Rhinolophus ferrumequinum: one gene and its partner. The protein of the gene in region 1 interacts with the protein of each later gene in a pairwise test. Links are inferred from orthologs where the notes say so. Each region holds a gene or a part of one and is shown on either strand. Other genes may lie near its edges.

The links.
Region 2: the proteins of XRCC4 (region 1) and APLF interact in binary tests that used the Homo sapiens proteins (3 or more experiments, as listed by UniProt). The link is inferred for Rhinolophus ferrumequinum from reciprocal best matches to the Homo sapiens genes XRCC4 and APLF.

The regions. Positions count from the first base shown.
Region 1 is NC_046290.1:53,739,009-53,746,563, forward strand, and holds the start of XRCC4 (DNA repair protein XRCC4), read left to right. Parts: upstream 1-4,429; 5' UTR 4,430-4,491; intron 4,492-7,555. Other genes in the region: TMEM167A (protein kish-A), read right to left, coding at 4,197-4,199.
Region 2 is NC_046296.1:22,141,661-22,149,333, reverse strand, and holds the start of APLF (aprataxin and PNK-like factor), read left to right. Parts: upstream 1-4,616; 5' UTR 4,617-4,822; coding exon 4,823-4,918; intron 4,919-7,673. Other genes in the region: FBXO48 (F-box only protein 48), read right to left, coding at 716-919, 1,367-1,672. UniProt on the Homo sapiens protein: Histone chaperone involved in single-strand and double-strand DNA break repair.

The DNA of each region.
Region 1 (7,555 bases):
TTTAAAAAATTACTTTGACCACGCGATCAGAAGAGAAAAAGACTAGTAAGAATGGAAAAGCTTCCAAATACATGGAGTCAAATATGGTTATGAACCCTGGCTACTCATGAACATTTGGAGTTTTTAAAAACAATGCCCCGAAATTCGGATTGAATAGAGTGGACATCTACAGTTTCTCAAAGCTCTCTGGAAGTGTTTATTGTAGTCAGGGCTACAACCACTATGGACCAGCATCCACTTCAGTGGTTTTCAAAGTGTGGTTCATGGAACCCTGTCATGGGTTTATGAGGTCAAAGCTAGTCTTATAATACCAAAAAGATATCTGCCTTTCTATTGTGATTTTTCTGTGTGTTAATGGTGCAAAAGTAATAGTAGCAACAGAATTATCATCTTAACCAACTCCGTCTATCCCCAAACCACTGAGGCAAACAAAGGTTTCTTTTCTTCTTGAATTTCTTGTGGCACTAACGGCATTGTTGTATAATAAAAAGAGCCTAAGATTTGGTGACAAATCTGTTAAGTCTTAGCTTTGTGAAATATAAGCAGTGTGATCTTGGGCAAGGCAGTTAACTCTTCTGTGCCTTTTTCTTCATAAGCAATGTAGTCAATAATGTAAGTCTTTAAAAACTGGAGTTGTGCTTCATCGACCTTCACGAAGCACCTTCAAAATGATTTCCTTATTTATCCCTTCTTTTTGCCTAACTACTGTGTTTCCCTGAACATAAGACCTGATCTTATATTAGTTTTTGCTCCAAAAGACGCATTAGGGCTTATGTTCAGGGAATGTCATCCTGAAAAATCATGCTAGGGCTTATTTTCCGGTTAGGTCTTATTTTCGGGTAAACATGGTACTATTGTCAAGAGTTGAGGCATTCGATCATCTACTATCTGTGTCACTGCCATTTGTTTCTAAACTGGTCTCCCAAATTTTAATCTTCCTCTATTTAAATATACCCTCCAGCTGGTTTGTTACCAGCTGGTTTCCTTAAAAGCACACTATTCTTTTGCCTGTTCAAAGTGTTTACCAGGTAAGCAATTAAATGTCATCAAAACAAAGTCCTTAATATGGCAAAACCCCCTTCAAGATCTGGCCCCAATATTTCTAGTCTCATCTCGTCATTTCACTGCTGAACTTCTATTCCTGCCAGTCTCCAAGCAAGTATTCAACAAGATGCCCTTTGGCTCCACAACGGCCATTTCCTTGATTTATCTACAGGATAGAGGACACTGTCCCAGTTCTAGCTAATGATTGCTTTCCTAATCTAGCTAATGATTCCTTCTCTAATCCCTAATCAGTTTAACTCAGGGGTGTCCAAACTGTTTTCAATGTTTTTTACCAGGGGCCATATGCGGTAAAATACACAAACAGCCGGGCCACTCACTCGAGGTGAAGTACGTATTGCCTCACCTGGTTTATTTAAATAAACTAAATATATTTTTGGAATTTGCTGCGGGCCAATTAACAATGGATTGCGGGCCGCAGTTGGCCTGAGGGCCGCAGTTTGGACACCCCTGGTTTAACTATAAAATGTGGGCAATAGCTCAAACTCTGCAGGGTTTGTGAGCATTAAATGAGATTATCTGTACACCACTTAAGATACCAACACAGTAAAATGAAAATAAACTTGCTTAGGTTCACCAAGTAAAAGATGGGAACTGGCAATGATTCTGACCCTATTTGGCTCAGTATAAAGCCTTTATGGTCTATATGGTCTTTCCACTACATATACTGTCTTTCTTCATGCTAGCAGATAACACGTGGAATTTAGTTATGTAATAATCTTCCCAACTGGACTGTGAAGTCCTTGAAGACACTGAGAATATCTTATATGACTTTGTATCTCCAGACTCATTCATTGGAGTACTAAGTCTAATTGACACTGTGATGTAGATTAAAAGTCTTAGTTTCTACTTTAAGAACTCTGCCCAGAGAGGAGAGAAATATAGGCAAGACCCTATTGCTTTCTTTCTTGTGTTAAGTGCAATGCTAGAGGGATGCTGGAGGTATAGACACGGACTATGGATGCTCAAACGGATACCTAAAAGCAGTAGAGAAAGAGAAGGGGCAAGGAAGGCTTTTTGGGAAGAGATAAATTTCAGATGAATCTTGAAGGATGTAAAGGGTTAGGGAGAACAAGGCATTCTGAATTTGTCAAAAGTATTAACTCATAAGTATTAACTCATTGTCAAGACTGTTTATGTCTGATAGTTGTACACTGTTACTGCTGATAAACATCTGATGGCCTTGAAATGCATTTAAAAAACTGAATTCATTAAAATACGGTAGTTCAGATTTGAGTCATTATTATTGGGTTATCTCGCAAACACCTGTGTATCAAGTTTAGAAGGAAACTCAAAAAGAAACTGCATTGTGCAGTTCTTCCAACTACAGTGTACTTTCTCTAAAATGCTGACATCCTAAGCTCACAGGAACAGAGCAGGAATGAAAAATTAATCACCTGGCAGTTTCTATTATCCACCCATGTCTGATCGGCATATTATAGTTGAGGGCAACAGATCACTAAGACATATCGGTTATGTTGTTCTATTAACAACAGCCTGAACATTGCTGGCACCTGGACATTAAGGTAACTTTGAGCCCTGGCTTCACTACCTATTAGGTGTGTGACTCCAAGCATGTCAGTCTTTTTGCTCCCTGACTTCCTTCACATGTAAACATCTACTCAGAAGTTTTTCAAACACAGCCTGGCATATATCGAGTGCTAATAAATGAGAGCTACTATTGTTACATTTGAAAAAAACAAATATGGCCAGTTTAAACACTATTGATTTTAATTACAGTATCTGTCTTCCTTTCAGCTAGTACATAAGATAATCTGATGATGAAAAGAATATATCTTTGACTTGTACTAGGAGTAAAATAATTCAATTTCAGCTTCTAGAAGATATGCAAGAATTAAGAGTAATAGTCCCTCTACTCTTTTTACATTGAAGAAGGAACCACATTTTCTAAGTTAAGTAACCGCTCACTAGTGATACTCTAAGAGCACCTATCATATGATAGGTGGGGAAAGAAGCTGCAAAATATTTATGGCCAAGGAAGGAATAACCTGCCACAAACTGCCATCTCTTCGTTAAGTGGTAAACTTCTCCAGGGAAAAGTCTGTGACTTAAACCCCACTATAATCAAAGCAGCTGAATAAAGCAAGCAACAAGTAATGAGTTTTCAATTAAATGTCTAAGGGCTTTGTGCTGCAGGAACATCTGGCAACCCAAGCACAGCAACTTTTCAGCATTTTGGGTATCATGGTTGCTTTCGATACAACAATAGAAGGCACATATCCTTTCCCCAGAAATATGCTCATAAATACATTTGGGACGTGAACTTCATAAATTCACCATGAGGGCCCAGTGTAAAGGCTGGTGGCATTTACTATAACAAAGCCTGGGAGATTATACTATCACTACTTCTACCACCTCTGTCCTCTGACCAGGCTGGGTTACTTCTTTTTTTTTCAACCTGGTGACGTACGCATTCTTTTGCGAACTTTTGTGACTTATTTCAAACTTTTCCAAGCCGGCCCAAACTGTCAAAAGAATCTGCAGTAATACAAAATAACACATTTAACCTTAACTGAGTGTGGGAAACGGGAGGACGGCTGGAGGCCAGGCACCACTTCAATTACCTTTAGCTCCTAGAAGAGAAACCACCTCTGCAGAGAACGCCAATCGTTAAAATGTATAGTTTGTAAAATAGCATCTTTAGGGTTGAGAGAATGAAGGAGAGGCCTAAAATTTGGGGTGTACTGGACAATGAAATAAACACCTGGGTGAGGCCCATGGGGAGATAAGGCGAGGCAAAAAAAAAAAAAAAAAAACAAGCTTAAATTCGACTAGTAAGGCCTCAAAGGGTCAAGGACCGCTGAGTCTATGAAACCGACGGGTTAAGCCAAACCAGCACATTTCTTCCTAACAAGTCAAGAACTGGCTCCGCAGGACAGGATGGGCTCCGCGACCCCGGGGTCTTAGGCAGTCTGTCCTGGTTCTCCCGGGTTGGGCATGCAGAGGCCACATGGCTCCAAGGCCTGCGCATCCTCCGCACCCCCGCAAAATCAAGTTAGTGACAGGATTCCCTGGCCCGCGCACCCACTGCTGCCGCCCAACCCTTCAGTCCTAGTTCGGGCCCACCGACCCTTTACAAAGTTCAACCGCGATCCCACAGTCCCGGTTCTTACCATAGTGAGGCCGGCGAAGCCTCAGCCACATCACCCTTCCGGGCCCAGGGCGGAAAAGGCGTGCACTCCCCGCCTGCCCTTCTCGCTCCCTCCCGCGGTCCGGTTGGACCTGTCAGGGCACCTCCTCCTGAGCCGCGCGACTCAGACGCTAGGATAGGCTCCTCTCTATCGGAAAAGGCGGGTTTAAAAGACATCATGCTACCGTGCGGAAGTAGATGACGCTCTGATTGGCTGCGGGACGTCAGCCTGTGGGAGCGGGCCTTTTGGAGGAGACCGGAAGTGGAGTCACTGACAGGTAGGTTTCGGAAGTGGGGAGTACCTCTGTACAATATTAACTGTAGTCCGGTCCTTCTTTTTTTCTTGTTCTTTCGTCCCACCCCTTTTCTTTCTAATTTTTTCCCCCTGTTATTTCCCACTGGAACTCCGTAGTGCGTGGACATTTCCCAGCTCTAATCCCCCTCAATGTGTAAGCTACTGGGCCCTCGGTTTGTTGCCTGTCGGAGATGGCTTGGGTTCCCTGGCATTAACCACAGGGCCTGCACCTGCTGGGCGTCCTTTTCAGTTTCTCCCGTTGCACCCGAGGGGTTCTTTGGATTGCAAAGCGCCTTTGAAATTCCTTGTAAAATTCTGGGATTAGGAGGACACTTGAGTCTGGATGGTTGTGTTGATAAGCTGTTTGATCATTTCCCTAACACTGGCCTTTTCTCTCTCCCAATCCCAAATTTGTTGCACACTGTCAGTGGGTTGCATCTGGGGCTGAAACATTCTCGGCCCTTTGGGATCAGGAAAAAACTTTCTGTAGTAATAAATGAAAAGGAAAAGCCCTTTCCTGAGTTCAGTAATTATTTCTCTAGAGAAGTGATCCATCAGCAAGACAAATCACATGCCAGCTTTTTCTTTAAATCAGTAGTGTTATTTAACTTCCTCTAATTTTAAAATCCCATTAGACGAAGCTCTATCCCCGCCCTCCACCCCCTCCCCGTTTTTGTCTTTGTATATTCTAGATGGAGAAACAGACACGTTGACATGTTCAGTTTGCATAGTTCTTGGGAGTTTCTAGAAGTCGGAGGCGCAGAGTTTATACTTTTGTCCCCTTAAGTGAATCAGAAAATTATGGCAACTCTTTGGCTCCAAGTGTATAGTTAATTTTTTCTCAGGCCGCAGAGGGTTCTTTTCAGAATGTTGTTTTTTAAATACTTTATTAACTCAGAAAGTGAATTGAAAAAAATAAGGAAGGGAAACTCATATGAGTTGTTGATTTATGTGGTGTATATGGCCAAACTATGAGACCCTTCTATATTTACTGCAACACGGTGATTAAACATTTGGATTGCTGCTATCTGTGATTACATTGTTCACTACAACAGACAAAAAAAAAAAACACAAAAAATTGTAACTACTTTGAATCTATTGAATTGTCAAGAGTTGGTCAAATATACACTTTTAGGAAGTATTTTCTGAGCTTTCTTCAAGGGAAAATGAGAGTGCAGCAGAGGAATAAAGATGGCCTCTTGGAGAAATTTAATGTTCTCCAAGAAATTTAATGTTCCTGCGAGAGGGGATGTTCCTGCGAGAGGGGAATAAGAAATGTATCAAAATGTACTGTACGTTCCTCCTATCAAAAAAGCCATTTAATGCTCTCCCTTGTAATTGCTTTACATTATACCTAAGTCTGGCCATTCTAATTAATCTTGGCTTAGGAAATAATTTCCAAATTAACCTTGGAAATTATGTTGTGCGACTCATCAAGCTGGCTTCTAACGTAATAAATGTGTCTGTAGACTTTATAACTGCTTTTGCTTTCATGTGAAGATCATTTGGATCTTTATGAACACTTAGGGTAATATACTTCTGTGTGAAGCTGTGAAGCTACCTATCAAGAGCACCAGGAAACTGGAGTTGTTAAAGACCAGAATCGATTTACCATATTTATGGATTATAATTAATTTTAGGCCATGAAGTTTTATATATTTCAGCTTCAAACTAGTAAAGAACAATGTTTGCCAGTTATTTTAAAGTTATCCATAGAATAACACAATGGTTTATTATGTATTTATTTATTTTCATGTAACAGCAAACAAAGGTAATCTGATCTGTGGTGAGAGTCTGGGGAGGTTGTCATGGAGCTACTTGGTGGTTAAGCACATAAACCCCCTGCTTTTGGTTTTCACTGCTAATAAACTCATTTAAGTACTAGCTCACATCACTAACTAGAAATCTCCTTTCTGGCAGCTCTGCTATGGATTCTCATTTATTACTAAAGCATCTCAGATCATTTTCTTAACAAAACTAAACTCTGACGGTGTCATTCCTTTGTTCAAAAATTATTGCCTCTCCTGCATCTAGAGAGTATTTTAAACTTTGGTTTCATGGGTTCCCTAGAATTTTATGTAAAAATAGCACATATTTATATTTTTCTGTGGAGAGATTGCATAGGCTTCTCCAGTATTACAAAGGTTAAATACGTTAATACAAGTAAAAAGTATTTGGCATGCGGTAAGCACTCAGTAAGCATTGCCTATTGCTGTGTGCCTGGCTTTTTGTTTCACTAAATTAAAAACTCCTTGAAGGGAGGGATATTGATGTACAGCTGATTGACTTCCATGTTAGCATGCAATAAAAGGTTTTTAAATTAAATTGGTATTGCTTTTATACCACCAGACTACTTTCTCCCCCTTTTCTCTTCTTACTTTGCACATAGTATGGATAGTGTTGAAGGTTTCCTTTTATTTGGTTTCCCCTTTTCTTATTCACTGATAGTCACATATATTAAAAGACAATCGTTTTACTTAATAGCTTGTTTTCTCTGATCCTCAAATAGCCTTTATAGTCTTAGGTTGAGGTTCTTTGTATTCTAGTGTTTGTCCTTTCCTCACCTCTTTTTTATTCTCTTTCCTCATGGGTCTTAGATTAAGATACATAAAAGTTTGTTTTTGACTTGCATGTTATTTCTTTTGCCTTAAGAAATAACCTTTCTCTACTCCAACCCATTTATTTGCTCTTCTAAACAAATATCCACAAGGAGTTCTCTGTGCTCCAAATCCCAATTTCTTTTTTTTTTTCCCTATTCTTTCTTGTGTGGGGGAGGAACAAATTTTTCCTCCTACTCTTAGAAATTTCTAATGGCTGGACTTATAAATTAAAATAAGACATTAATGACCAAACTGTACTTACGGGGATTTCGTAAGAATATGAGACAATGATGTAGATGATATTGGATCTGCCGGCAGTTTCTGGGTGTGGGCCGGGATCCCATCTTGTGAAGCCGAAGAATGGACACAGGGACCAGGAAGAGGCAAAAAGTTTTAAAAAGAGGATAGTTTATTTGAGGCAGGAGAAGAGGTTGCAGCTCCCGAGTG
Region 2 (7,673 bases), on another chromosome or scaffold:
GGTGGTGCTACGAGGCTGTCAGAAAGAAAGTGAGGTTTACTAAGAAAAATAGTGCAGTTCTGCTGTAGTTAAGTGTTCTGAAAACTTTCCATATATTTTCAGTCCCTGAGAGCAATTCCAGGTCTATAGGCAAATAATGGGAACCTTAATCTCACAAGTTTTAGCCCTATGGTCAGATTAATCACAAATTTAGCACATTTTAAAATGGTTTCAATGTTTGACAATTCCATCTAATTCCACTGAAATGGAAATTTTAGTTTTTGAAATACAAATTTATTATACATTTAAACATATTGTTATTAATTTCATTTAAATAAGTCCCCCCAGGAGCCTAGTTATACCTACCACTTAAAGAATCTCTAAGTCAATTTCTTCAAATGGGTTCCAGAATTTTTGAATTATCATTAAGCAGAAAATACCAATCAAACTCTCTTATTATTAAAGCACCACAATATATTAAGACATATACATGAAATAATACATTTTGTAATTACTCTATTAGCATTGTATTTCTTATATAAATAATATTTCATGATTTTTTCACATTACAGTAAAACCAGAAAAATATTTTTTTCTAAAGTGTCAAGTAAAAACAGACTTTACTTTTATAATATTTTCTACTTAGTTTTCTTTTAAATGTTAAATATTTAAAAAGGTGAACAAAACAATCAATAGATAAAGCTATATCTTTTGCAATCTCAGAGTCATTTTAGTTTTAAACTCTCAAAGTTATGAGATCTGCTTGTGATTTTTCTGCATATCTTTTCAGTTCTGCTTCTAGAATTTCCCCCCATGTTTCTGCATCCATCGGGTACATGATTTTTTCTGGTAGGCTACCAGGAGAACATATGTTGCTGTATCTTCCGGTAAGCCATTCAAGTTTCACTTTACTCTTCTGGTAATTCCTCAGTAGTGTGTCCTGAAAGAGGTAAAACCATCATCGTCAAAGAATGTAGTAGGTGGTTTGTTAGTGAGTTTGTTTGAAACCAGAGAAGCTGATTGAGGCTAAAAAGATTAAGTATTTTGTTATGCACATATACTAATAAATGTGTGTGTGAGTGTGTGTGTGTGTGTGTAGCACCAGAGTTTGCTGGGGGTTTTGGATAATGTGGAGTGAAAACAAGTAGCCACTATCCTTCTGATTAACAGACAAAAATGCCCAAATTTAGGATTTAAAAAATGTAAAAGGATGGATGGGAGATACTGTGTTTTGCAGGAACAGAATAATTCACCAAGTCCAAAAGCCAACACACTCTGTATGTCATTCTGTTTATGAAATCCTAACTCTTCCAAATAAAAGGTAGAGTTGGTTCAAACCTACCACCATATTGTTAAGAACACTGCAGACCACAAAAAGGAAACTTACCCTCCAGGAAAAACCACTTTTTCGATCGTCATCTATTTCTCTTTTGCACACAACTCTCACAGCTAAGCAATGAGGCTCCCATAAGGAGTCATTGTTGCTTACTGCGGAATTCCACCTCTTGCATGTCATTGACGCCCTGCACAAACTCCGCATGTCCAGCTGACTGAAAATTTGTACGTAAAGTTCGTCAGGTAGCTGTTCAAAAAACTTATTTTGATACTCTTTGTTTTCCTTCTCAGCATCCAAAGAGTTCAATCCTATGTCAGAAACTCTTGAATTATTGTTCCTCTTCAAGTTCTTCTGCATAGCTTGATGTTTTAGTAAATTATCCTCATATGTCACCTAAAATGCAGAGTTTAAACATACTTAGTCTCTTCAGGTAAGACTACAGAACCCACTCTGAGCCAGATACTTTCTGGGAATGATTTAAAGAACTTTAACTTTCTCTACTTGAGATTCTCAATCTGTAAAATGGGTCCAATGATACTCCTCTTGTGTGCTCTTGCAAGGATTAACAGGGGTAACATGTAAACCATCTAGCCTCACATCCGAATTACACATTGGAGGCACTCAATGCATGTTACTTCTCTTCTTTTTAAAAATATTTTTAGTAAAAGGGTTTGTCTCTAAACATTAGTTTTTCCGCTCCCAAAGAACATTGTCTAAAAAAGAGAAGTGATTCTTCACAGACTATAATTTATTGAGTTTAGTAGAAATGACTATTGTGAAAACACATTTGACTCCAAATATTTATTGAAAATACCTTTGGAATGCAGACTGGTGCAGCTGTTATGGAAGGCAGTGTGGAGGTTCCTCAAAAAATTACGAATAGAATTACCATATGACCCAGCAATCCCTCCCCTGGGTATCTACCCAAAACATCTGAAAACGTTTATACATAAAGACACGTGTGCTCCAATGTTCACTGCAGCTTTGTTTACGGTGGCCAAGACATGGAAACAACCAAAATGTCCTTCGATAGATGAATGGATAAAGAAGTTGTGGTATATATACACAATGGAATACTATTCAGCAGTAAGAAAAGATGATATAGGAACATTTGTGACAACATGGATGGATCTTGAGAGTATAATGCCAAGTGAAATAAGTCAGACAGAAAAAGCAGAGAACCACATGATTTCACTGATATGTGGTAAACCAAAAACAACAAAAGAACAAGACAAACAAATGAGAAACAAAAACTCATAGACACAGACAATAGTTTAGTGGTTACCAGAGGGTAAGGGGGTGGGGGGTTGGAGATGAGGGTAAGAGGGATCAAATATATGGTGATGGAAGGAGAACTGACTCTGGGTGGTGAACACACAGTGGGATTTATAGATGATGTAATACAGAATTGTACACCTGAAATCTATGTAATTTTACTAACCATTGTCACCCCAATAAATAAAAAAATCATTAAAAAAAGAAAACACCTTTGGAAATGTATATAATTCAATTCTATTAAACTCCTGAACACTTGGTGTCTGTGGGAGCTGATGCCTTGTCATTAAGTTCTTTATCTACAATTTGTGACTTAATCATAAACCTGATGGACATTTAGTAGTTTATATAAGACTTGTTTATATATTTGTACCTAATGGGTAGATGCAAACCTTTGACATAAACACTATCTGAAATGGACAAGAGGTTGAGCTCAGTGTCATAATGACACAAAGTCTCAAATATTCTATTCAGTTAAGTTATAAGATTAGCTTCTAGAAATAGCCTCTTGAAGCTACCTACATACATAGTTAATTATGAACCAAGGATAATAGTCACTGAGGCCATCAAGCAACAGTAACTAAGAGCTATAGACAATGTTTATAATTCAGCAAGGTATAGCACGTGACTAAAGATTTAAAGTCCAGTTTCAGCTAATTTACCTAAGGGACATGGTGTAGGCTTCTGAAATCAATGGAAAACATGGAGCTATTTTTGCACATAAAGATAGCTTATACTTACTTACAAGCAGTTTATTCCATTTTGCACTTCTTAATAGGAAGTGGTGGTTTCGGAGGAGGAGTTTGAGATACAGCTAAAAACTTCTTTTAACTTAGCTCACCACAATTCCCGTCTAGATTAGCTCCTCAACCTGTATTTCTGGATTTGCCAAGACCAATTGCTCCCATTCATTTGGTTGTGTATGACCCAAATTAACCGTGTTGGTTAGAACTTTAATGTCTGTCTGTGTTCATCAGAGGACTTCCTCTTTGGGGAAGAAAGCAAACTGCAAAAACAAGTTCATGAGTCAACCGCAAGTTTTTGCCAGGCACCTCCCCTCTCTCACCATCAATACAAACCAAAGCCAAACTACCATATTCTTGAAAAGACTCCCTTTAGTAGAACGTTATTGTTTGTTACTACTCCCATGATCTCAGTGGGGAATAAAATGCGTCCTCTCCGTTACAGGTACTCCACAGAAGACCGATGAAGGCTTTTGAATCTAACAATCGGGGGTGCCTCGGTGAGGTTCCTAAAACCCCAGTGGGCATCTTTCTTCTTCTAAACCCAATTTTGTCTGGATGCCTGCAAAACTATCCCTTTTCTTCCTCCTTTTGAGGAACCAAGCCGCGCTGCCAAATTACCTCTAGTTAGGGAAGAGCTCGCCCCAGGTGTCACACGGAGGGAGGGATCCGGAGGCAGCTCGGACCTCCCGGCTCTCAGGGAGCCCCTAACCTGTCCAGACCCCTCAGGTCGGAAGGAATGACCCCGAGTCCCATCTGAGCCACCCTTCTTGCGTGCCTCGCCCAGGCTGCAGCTGCCGGAGTTCAAAGAACACCGGGCACTGACAAATGAACAATAACAACTCTGTCATTTCAGGTCCGCGCCGCTGAGCAGAGGTTGCGATGGCGCTGGGTCCGGGCCCCAGAGCTTGCTTGCCCGATGTCAGCGGGAAGGGAAGAGCCTCCTACCTGCTGGGCTCTGGCAGCCTCTTCTCCGGCGATTTACATCCTCTGGCCTTTGAGGCATTCCCCACACACAGTCCCTCTGATTCCACCCACCCTAGCCCCACCTCTTGTTGACTCGGATTTCGCGCAGGCGTAGAGAGGAGCGCGCATTACCTTTCGGGATTGGTAGTTTTACCAGGGGGCCTCAGCTCGGCAAAGGAGGAGAAGGAAGGCGCTATGGACTACAAGGTCCGGCGTCCTCCAAGACGGGAGGGCGGGGAGAATGATGGGGGGGGTGGTCTTAACCGGGGCTTTTAAACACTAGTTTGAGAAGGTGTGATAGGGGAATCCCCGAGTGCGTCACAGGTACGAGTGGAGGGGCGGGGCTGGGGAACCTGTTTCTGGGGTTCCCTACTGCGCCGGGACTCGACGCGCCCGAGCCGAGTCTTTGCTTTCCTCCCCTAGTGTTTTTTCCGGGCACCTTTGTAGGCCCCGCGCGTGACCAGGGAAGGCGGAATCGGCTGCGGGGATCGACTCCTTGCGAAGGGGCCTAAGCCTCGCCGCCATGTCCGGGGGCTTTGAGCTGCAGCCGCAGGACGGCGGCCCCCGGCTGGCCCTGGAGCCCGGGGAGACGGTGATTGGCCGCGGGCCGCTGCTGGGAGTAAGTGTGGCAGGGGGCTGGGCAAGACCCGGAGAGCCGGGCTAGTCCTTGCTGGCTCCTGAGGCCCAACTCCCCGTCCTGGCCCGATTCCCCACCACGCCAGCCCTGCCTGTCTGGATTGTAGGGGTTTGGGGGCAGCACGTTTTTCACTCAACTCGAATCAACTCTCAAACGTTTCCTTTTGTTGCTTTCAAAAAGAAACTGATCAGTGTTATCATCGTTATAATCGTACCCAGAGGTGGGCAAACTATGGCCCAAACCAGCCTGTTTTGGTATGGGCCCGAGTACGAAGAATGATTTTTAAGTTTTAAAATGTAAAGGAAAAAACAACAACCGATTTGCCTTTCAGGGAGAATAATTGCTCCACAGGTTGTGGATATTGTCCCTTGGCCTGACAAGCCACAATATTTACAGTAGTATCTGGCCCTTTACAGAAGAAGTTTGCCAACCTCTGATTTTATCTTTTCTAGAATAATTTCTTTTAAAGCTTTTGACCTCTTTTGTGGGACTGCGTGGCCTTACTTTTATTGTAATAGTCTTTTTGAGTCGTATCAGTCGCTAACCCTTATGTAGTGTGTAGTAAAAACCATATGAGTTAGGTCATTGTTCAGACGAGAAAATTGAGCTACAGATGGGTTATTTAAAGGGCACACATAAGCTTTTGGACACATAGTGCCACTAAGCTATGTATTTATTCTCTACCTTCTTTGGCATGTTTAGTAGGAGTTAGGAAATTGGCCTGTTGCAGTTTGGAGTTTTATAGATCTGTCTATATATGGATGTGTATATTGTTTTCTTAACATTCAGCATTTCTTTTTCAGTGCCCAGTTTGTGTAACACATTTGTAGATCCTAGCACTGTGGGATGTGCAAATATGAATGAGACATGGGTCCCAGCCCTCTAGGAGTTTTCTCTTGGACTGTGGAGACAAACCTGTGTCAGTGAGCTAATGCCAGGGAGTAAGGAGTGTGGACAATTTATTATCCTGGTTAACAGCAGTGTCTAAATGGAACCATTGGTGTTAACCTTGGGATCCTTCTCCAAGCAGGAAAAGGAGTGGGCATTGAAAGTTGTAATTAGGAAGTCAGTCCTAAAGAGGGGTGTGTGTGTGTGTGTGTGTGTGTGTGTGTGTATGGGTACATATATGTATATGTAGTAAGGTTAATTAAGAAAGTTAAAGTATACCTGCTATTTATTTATTTTTTTTTGCTGGGCAAGTAATTACTTAAATGTTTAAATAACATTATTATTTTTCTCCTAAACATTTGAAGGAACTGCCTGGGGCGGGGGAGGGTAGGGGGGGCGGTTTGTTCTCTCCTCCCTTCCCTTTCTCTCTCTTTATCTAAGTTAGAAACTTAAGTATGTGTTTCATCTAGAAATCTTTTGACTGGTGACTAAAAAGTTTTGATTTGCTTAACAAATTGTATCACCAATACAGAGTACTATAGATCTGGTTAAAAGATCGATGAGTTGTAGGCTTATGTTTTATCAACATGCCAACAGGTTATAGACCTTTTTATTATTTATAGCTTGATCTTTTGTGTTACAGGTTTGTTATTGTGAGATGAGGCTATTTGGTTTCTGGTTTTGAAAATGGTAAGGAGTAGAAAGTCAATTATCTGGTCTGGATTTTGCTTTTCCTTTTCAAATAATCATTCAGTGATGAGAAACTATTGCCAAGTTTGGCAGATATTAGAAGTGGTTATGAACGATACCCTCCACGCATTGAAGGAAAAGTTTGAAGTGCAAACAAATCATCTTGAGGTTTTTAAGAATTTGGAGCTGACAGAGGTATGTGTTTCTTCTCTGCAGTGGTTAAACCCAACATGAGGGCGGTTTTTTCAAACAACAGCAATTTCAGTCAGGATTCTTTTTCTTTTTTCTTTTTTTGGTAGTGTGAGAGAGAGCAAAGACTTAGTTCTAAGTGGGAAAACTCAGGAAGTTCATTGTAAATTAGTATCCATCTGAAATGATTAATTATAATAAGTATGATTTTTGAGCTCTTACTTAACTAGCCATGTTTTTTGGAGACAAGTTTCACAAAACTATGGTCCCACAAGCATACAGGTTTATAATTTCAACATGTAAAACAGTCTTAGTGGTAAAACAATTTGACAACGAGAATGTCTTTATATCTTTACAGTGGCAGGAAAAACACTAATAGATAACAGAGCAGAGTGAATTTAATTTTTCATTGTGCCCTTTGCTTTAGTATGAGTCATCAGCAAACCCAAGGTCGTTGTTTACTTACTAGGTTGTAATTCTGTCATGATCTGTACAAATTAAAAGGGTTTACAGCAGGATGAATCTCCAGGGAATTATTATCCTGGGTGAAAACAGCCAATCCCAAAGGTTATATATTGTATGATTTCATTTACATGACATTATTGAAATGACAAAATTATAAAAATGGAGAACAGGCTAGTGGTTGCAGGGGTTAAGGAAGGGGGGAGGACAGCAGGAGGGAATTGGGTATGACTATAAAACAGCAATCGAGGGGATTTTTGTGGTGATGGAAATGTTTATATCTCAACCTTATCAATATCAATATTTGATTGTTTTGCAAGATGTTACTGCAGGGGGAAACTGGGTAAATGGTGTGAGAGATCTTTATTATCTATTTCAACTAGATGTGAATCTACAACTATCTTAAATAAATTTAATTAAAAAGAAGATTTTTACAATATAGCATCTCAAGCAACAGAGTACTTTTAGGCCAAACTATTGCTTTATGGTTTTTCTTTAATTAAAGCTG